2 linked regions of the Callithrix jacchus genome follow. The protein of the gene in region 2 interacts with the protein of the main gene of each other region in a pairwise test. Links are inferred from orthologs where the notes say so. Each region holds a gene or a part of one and is shown on either strand. Other genes may lie near its edges. The genes, in order: ZC3H15 and DRG1.

The links.
Region 1: the proteins of DRG1 (region 2) and ZC3H15 interact in binary tests that used the Homo sapiens proteins (3 or more experiments, as listed by UniProt). The two-hybrid records come from large-scale screens. The link is inferred for Callithrix jacchus from reciprocal best matches to the Homo sapiens genes DRG1 and ZC3H15.

Annotation. Positions count from the first base shown.
Region 1 is NC_133507.1:42,485,133-42,488,277, forward strand, and holds the end of ZC3H15 (zinc finger CCCH domain-containing protein 15), read right to left. Parts: intron 1,592-3,145; coding exon 1,401-1,591; 3' UTR 775-1,400; downstream 1-774. UniProt on the Homo sapiens protein: Protects DRG1 from proteolytic degradation. Stimulates DRG1 GTPase activity likely by increasing the affinity for the potassium ions.
Region 2 is NC_133502.1:201,887,810-201,892,261, reverse strand, and holds the start of DRG1 (developmentally-regulated GTP-binding protein 1), read right to left. Parts: upstream 2,835-4,452; 5' UTR 2,770-2,834; coding exon 2,728-2,769; intron 1,791-2,727; coding exon 1,667-1,790; intron 1-1,666. UniProt on the Homo sapiens protein: Catalyzes the conversion of GTP to GDP through hydrolysis of the gamma-phosphate bond in GTP. Appears to have an intrinsic GTPase activity that is stimulated by ZC3H15/DFRP1 binding likely by increasing the affinity for the potassium ions.

The sequences.
Region 1 (3,145 bases), on a different chromosome or scaffold from region 2:
CACTATCCCACACGCTGTGTCCCTGCAATCCCCTGGGCTGGCCCACTGCCCAAGTCCCTTTCAGTCTCAAGTTCAGCCCTCTCAAGTCTCAGGTTGCCGTTTCAATAGAACACCCGGACAAGCACGCCCTGTGGGGATCGCTGGGTAGGGCCAGCCGCCGCCACCCCGGCTGCCGGCTTCTCCAGGCAGAGCCTCTGCCTGGTGTCCCGCGTCTCCTTTATACTTGGGAATTTCCCCGTTCTGTGGGCAACAAGGATCAGTCTGAAAATGCAGCTTTGACTCACCTCTCTGCGGATTAACCGAGAGCTTCAATCCTGGGTTGTTCTCACAGTGCCATCTTGAGTTCCTCCCAACCAAATTGTGTCTATTTTAAATGTATTATCACCCTAATTTTTCAGGGGATCTTAGTGCCAAAAACCCTCAGCCCATAGTTTTTTGGTGAATTTGTTTACACTTATATTAGTATGTACTATTTTAACACCATGGATCTCAACAACGTTCTTAACCAGTACTTGATTCAACTGTAGGTGATATTTAATTTGTTTGATGATTCATCAATTCAGAAGTTACCCTTTTTTTAACATCACCTAGAGTCTCTTTTGGAAGCTTAGTATTGTGTTATTAAATTCATAGTAGTACTGTTAGTACTCTAGATGGTTCTGTAATAAGTATTAAGAAAACATCCCTTATGTGATACTATAACAGATATTTAGTTAAAATATTCAAGCTAGGAATGTTAAATTTTTCATAGAAAAACTTAAAAGAAAGCCCATATTTGGATTTTAATGTATGATAGTCTTTATTTACAACTTTATTGGCAAAAAAAAGGGGAAAACTTTTAAACAATTTAACACAGGGCATTGTAGCTGACCCTGTCAGATAAAAGAAGTTCCATTTTAAATGTCCATTTAATTGTCCAAAGATATACAATACTGAATCTGCATATGCAGTTTCCTTTATGAAATACAGTGCTGACGTTTTAGGCAGTCTTCTAAACATACAAATACAAAGGAAATTAAATCACTCATTAAGAACTCTGTCAAATGAAGGGTATTTTAAATGTGAGTTTTTGTTTCTGGTAATAGCACATGCCCAAATGAAAACCAAAAGATGGAAAAGCAGATACACTTCTTACTTGGGTGGACAGTTACAACAATCAATCATTTTCTGCAATGACCATTATATTTTCAATTTATCATGAACTAGTCTGAACTTACTATGAGATGAAGCCAAAGTCAGAAGAGAAGACGTAGGAACAATACTCCTTTTTTGTAGGAGGGTAAGTCCTCCAGAATCAGCATGGGAAATAAACATCCTGTTGATTCTAGGTGGAAAAAATTAATGAAGTCAATTTCAACTCATGCTGAGCTGACTTGATTTTTGCATTGACTTGTTTGGTGTCATTCTTCTAAATCAAGTGTATTTAGTTCTTCTTCTAGTTCATCCAAATCCTCTCCAGTGAAAAGATTTTCATCAACAGGAACAGCATCAATAGCTCCATTTTCCGGTCCCTCTCTTTCGTTGTCCTCTTCCAAGTCACTTCTTTCACCATTTTCAGCCCTACCTCCAGAAGCTTCATTTAATTTGTTTTCTAAAAGTTAAAATTAGAATCAGTAAGGTGTAGAAGGAGAAAACACCATCCTACATTAGCAATAGACAACACGGACTGATATTACACTTCCTCTTTTCCTTTTCTCCATGAAAGCCTTCCCTAGAATTATTCCAGCAAGAACCGATCCTTCTTTTCTGAGCTTATTTGTACCAATTATCTATACTCACTACAAAATACTGATTTTCACTGTAGACATCTGACTGCTTAATTGTTTCTTCTACAACTCTGTGTTCCCTACATGACTGAGCAATTAGATTTTAATTAGTCAATTTCCATACAGTATTTCTGAATAAGTGGTTATGGAAACCAAAAAATGTTTGTAATATAAGCAGCTACTTGGCTTTTGGTTTTGTAAATAGTATTTAAATCATGATGTTGTAATGCTGTGATTGTGACAGCAGAAAATCATCATGTAATCAAATGGTTAACAAAAAAAAAAAAACCTAGTGGTATACAGCTACTTTTCCTTATAGATTAAAACGACTGAGAAAACAAAAATGCTGCCTTTTTTGTTCCGTGCCATTAACATTTGCACAGACATTTTTAAACAGCCTAATTTAGATTTCAGCTATTTCAAACATCTCTGATGACAAAGTCTTGGGAATTTTATAATCTCTAAAGTATTTGCAGTTGTGCCTATTGTCAACAAAACCCACTTCTATAAAAAACAAGTCAATCTAAATACTAGCAAGACAATGCTTTGATAACACTCTCAGATCCTGGGAGGGCAAGCTGGTTTTTCAAGTTATAGCTTGTGTGCTTTTATGTAAAAATAAGGTTCAGCCTTTTGTCTCAGCTTTTGCCTTAACTGGCATTTCTTCTGCCTTTTTCTTCCATAGCAAGGATGCCAAACTTTCACCCCTTTCTTCAAGCACCTAACTCAAGGCACAATTAGACATAAATTATACCAACAATCCTAGTCAGCCTTCCCTCCATTCTCACACCTAACTCATTATTTATACTTTTTACGTCTTGCTTCCATAACTAATTTCCTTTATCTTCAACTTTTCCTCCTTACCAGATGCACTTTCTCTCACCTACAGATACATACTTACCAGATCTTCTTCCTCTGACCTACAGAGATACACTTAGGTTTTCCATATCCTAAAAAGCCCTTCCCATGACCATGTCTTTCCTCTAAACACTGAGAGGACTGTATTCATTTTTCTTCTCAGTTATTGCAGTCTCAATGAAACTGGCATCCTATTCCTATAACCAATTACAATTAGTAACTTATTTATATTCGTTTTCACCCTACTTACTTCTTTGGAAACTTGTTTCTTAAATTTTCTCTGACCTTCTCAGTGTCTTTCCTAAGCATTCCTTCTTTTACCTACCTTGAAACACTGATACTTTGTGCAGGGCATTCATGTCTATACAATATCCTAGACAGTGCCACTTTGGATAATGAAAAAATCTCAAACTCATGAGGTCCCAAAGTAAACTCACTGGCAATAGCTCCAAGTTCATTTTTGTCTCCTTCTAGTTTCTGTTAATGATTTTAATATCTACACAGCTGCTCAGGTCTTCAGC
Region 2 (4,452 bases):
ACATATTTCTGTAAGCCAATGTAAATCTACTTTGGTTTTCTCAAGATGAGATCTCGCTTTATCACCCAGGCTGAAGTGCAGTGGCCCCATCACAACTCACTGCAGCCTCTACCTCCTAGGTTCAAGCAATCCTCCCAACTCAGACTCCCAAGTAGCTGAGACCACAGGCATGCACCACCACATTAGGCTAATTTTTTTTTTTTGAGACGGGGTTTCACTCTTGTTACCCAGGCTGGAGTACAACGGCGCAATCTCAGCTCACCACAACCTCCGCCTCCTGGGTTCAGGCAATTCTCCTGCCTCAGCCTCCTGAGTCGCTGGGATTACAGGCACGCGCCACCATGCCCAGCTAATTTTTTGTATTTTTAGTAGAGACGGGGTTTCACCATGTTGACCAGGATGTTCTCAATCTGTTGACCTCGAGATCCACCCGCCTTGGCCTCCCAAAGTGCTGGGATCACAGGCTTGAGCCACCGCGCCCGGCCCAATTTTTTTTTTTTTTTTGCACATCTTTCATACCCAGGGGGACCCTTCATTCATAAGCCTGTAGAGACAGGGTCTTGCTGGTTTCAAACTCCTGGCCTCAAGCAATCCTCCCACCTCAGCCTCCCAAAATGCTGAGATTACAAGGATGAACCACTGCACCCAGCACATGTAAATCTATTTTGTATCAGTGCAGAATATAAATAAAACTACAGTACACTTAAACAATATCCATTTGCCTCTGAAACCAGCAGAATAAAAATAAACATAGTTCAGCTGGACGTGGTGGCTCTGGCCTGTAATCGCAGCACTTTGAGAGGCTGAGGAAGCAGATCACCTGAGGTCGGGAGTTCAAGACCAGCCTTACCAATATGAAGAAACTCCATCTCTATTAAAAAATACAAAATTAGCCAGGCATGGTGGCACATGCCTGTAATCCCAGCTACTCGGGAGGCTGAGGCAGGAGAATCGCTTGAACATGGGAGGTGGAGGTTGTGGTGAGCAGAGACTGCGCCATTGCACTCCAGCCTGGGCAGTAAGAACAAAACTCCATCTCAAATAAGTAAACAAACAAACAAACATAGTTCAAGAATTCATACTTAGAAAATATAAATCTCATTCAGTACAACATCTTTAGTTATTTTTCTCGTTTAAAAAAACTTTTTTTGGCCAGACATGGTGGTTCACACCTGTAATCCCAGAACTCTGGGAGGCTAAGGCAAGTGGATCACCTGAGGTCAGGAGTTTGAGACCAGCCTGACCAACAACGAAATACCCCATCTCTACTAAAAATATAAAAAAATTAGCTGGGTGTGGTAGTGCATGCCTGTAATCCCAGCTACTCAAGAGGCCGAGGCAGAATCATTTGAACCCAGGAGGTGGAGGTTGCGGTGAGCCGAGATCACACCATTGCACACCAGCCTGGACAACAAGAGCAAAACTCTGGTACACACACACACAAAAAAAACAAACTTTTTTTTTTTGAGATGGGGGTCTTTCTATATTGATCAGGCTGGTCTTGAATTCCTGACCTCAAGTGATCCATCTCAGTCTCCCAAAGTGCCAGGATTGCAGAAGTTGAGCCACTGCACTGGGCCATCTTTAGTTATTTTTAAACCACATGTATGTACTATTTTGACAGAAATTATGCCTAAAAATATATATATAGAAGAAAAACACAAACCTTCTCCTGGACCTCCACCACCACCACCCTTTGGAGTAATGAGTTCTCGACGAAGCTTAGCAAGACGAGCCTTAAGCAGCCCTAGGTGGTGTGCTGTGGCCTTGTTCTTTTGAGTCCGAGCCATCTATAAGGGAAGAATCACAGCCATAAATCAGAAGCAGTTCCTAACAGGGTAAAAATATCCGGAATGAATGCTTCCCCCAGCTCTGAGAGAATATTTTTTTTTACCCAAGTCCTACTAATGTCAGCATAACCATTTTAGAGGCTTCAAAAGAGTAAAAGTCCATTCCCTCCCCAATCCAGTTCATTTCCCTCAATACAGAGCAAAGTGAGGGGCAAAGAGAAGAGACAAGATTCAGGTCATTCCAGTTAGTGCCCCCAGACTAGACTAAAACCCATCTGTGGGTTCCTTTTCTACTGTTTGTAGCCGTTAGGCCCCATCTGACTACACAGGGACACCACTTTCCTAATTGTAAAGCACTCTGAGGGCCGCAGGCAACGGAATCACACACTATCCAGGTGGAATAAACTGCTCCCAGACAGATGTCATTTTACTTCCATTTCCGATTACCGGAACAAATACTCTCATCAGGGGTCATTGGGGTAGCGACTGGGAAAAGGGGAAATAAGGAGGACCTAGCGAGGGATGATGAGGAAAGATCCTTAAGTATCTTACCAAGCCAGAGATGGAATAAGGGACAGTATTCAGTGTTGCTCAGAGGAAAAAAGAAGAACGGAAAGAAACAATTTCAGAACAGGAACTGAACACTGGGAGGGGGTACCGACCCAGGGCCTAAGATGCGGGGGTGCGGAACGCGGGCCCCGGCAAAGGGGAGTTCAGGAGCGTGGCCGCGGGACAAGGGGAAAGGAGGAGGAGACTCTCCTCCCGGCTGAGGAGAGTCTGAGACTCCGAGTCGTGGCTGACAGCAGTCGGAACACCGGCCTCGCTAAGAGAAGTCGCGGAATCTAGGCCGGGTCCTGACGCGGTTCAACCGAGAACAAGAGCGACGCCACCGAGAAGGGATGCTCCGACTGAGTGAAGCGCCAGCTGCGTCCATTACCTCAGCTTCTATCTCCGCGATCTTAGCTAAGGTGCTGCTCATCCTGGCGAGTACCCTGTGGCCTCCACACTGACTGTCTCTCTTCACACACCCGCGGGCAAACTGCCACCGGCACTAGGCGCTACTGCAGTGCGCAGGCGCGGTACTTCGAATTCTCGCGAGAGAGTCACGTAAGGGTCAGCGCGATACGTATAGCGTGGGGCCACCTCCTCCCCGTCAGCTGACCCCGCCCCGTCCCACGAGCCAGTGCGGTGTCATAGAGCCCGCGGGAGCCGGGGGCCAGAGAGGCTGCCCCGGTCTGGGCGTCTCCGAGCGCGCGGAGGGTCGCGCGCAGCTCGGCCCCGCCCGGCGTGATCCGCTCCTCTCGCCCTGCGTGGTACTGAACGCCTCGGGCTGGAGACCCCAAGCCGACTCATGTGCTCTGCACCCGTGTTCCTCGCCAGCATCTGCGGGTCCTGGGTTCCCCTTTTCACAGCCGGGTTGACATCCCGACGGCCTCTTTGGTCTTGCGAGGGCATAGAGACCCATCTTGAGCCTGTCTCACCCCCTTGGAAAAAGAAAATTCCCCCATCCTATCATTCAAAACTATTTTTATGTCTGTTTTGTTTACTCCAATCCCCAAGTAGAGCACATGGGGAGCCCACAGTAAGTGCATACGTAAATGGATAATTCCCAGAGAACTCTGCTCGCAACATAGCTTGTAATGCCAAAAAATTGGAAACTATATTAACACCCATAAGTAGGAAAATAGATAAATGAATAATATCTCTATCCTGTTTTTGAAATATTACATCCATTAAAACGTAGACCTGTGTTTTTACTTGATCTCCAGGACATGTTAAATGGGAAAAGACACAACTAGCGGAACGGCATCTATGTAGTGATAACCATTTATGTTATTCTAAAAATTAGATGTACATTTATATAGGCGTGCATGTATGAACGTGCATTGCTTAAAGGCCTAGACAGAAAAATACATCAGAATTTTTTTTTTTTTGAGACGGAGTTTCGCTTTTGTTACCCAGGCTGGAGTGTAATGGCACGATCTCGGCTCACAGCAACCTCCGCCTCCTGGGTTCAAGCAATTCTCCTGCCTCAGCCTCCCGAGTAGCTGGGATTACAGGTATGCGCCACCGTGCCCAGCTAATTTTTTGTATTTTTAGTAGAGACGGGGTTTCACCATGTTGACCAGGATGGTCTCGATTTCTTGACCTCGTGATCCACCCGCCTCGGCCTCCCAAAGTGCTGGGATTACAGGTTTGAGCCACCGCGCCCGGCCTCAGAAACTCTTAACACTGGGACGGGATGCAAGGAAAGAAGCCTTTCACATTTTATTCCACAGAATTTTGTAGTTAAATTTTTACAAGATGAATGTATCCATGTATTACATGTGTAATAATAAAATTTAAAAAGACTCCTCTTCCCCAAGTGTCACATGGAGAGGAAGCCAGGACGTCCAGGAACTGTGTGGTGGTTTTAAAAGCGGTTTGCCTCAAGATCAATGGGTTGTTTTGATAGATTGATTATTCCAGGGGGAGTCCACCCGCCAGGCTTAATCCAAGGGGTTGGCCTGCACCCAGCCCTGGGAGGGAAGTTTAATTTAGTTAAATTTACAGGCCATCAAAGCAATGTGAGAGAAACCCTTTGAAAAAAAAAAAAAATTTAGTTAAATTTGTAAACAATAACTATTCTAACTTGCCAGAGACCAAAAAAGGAGGTTTTTAA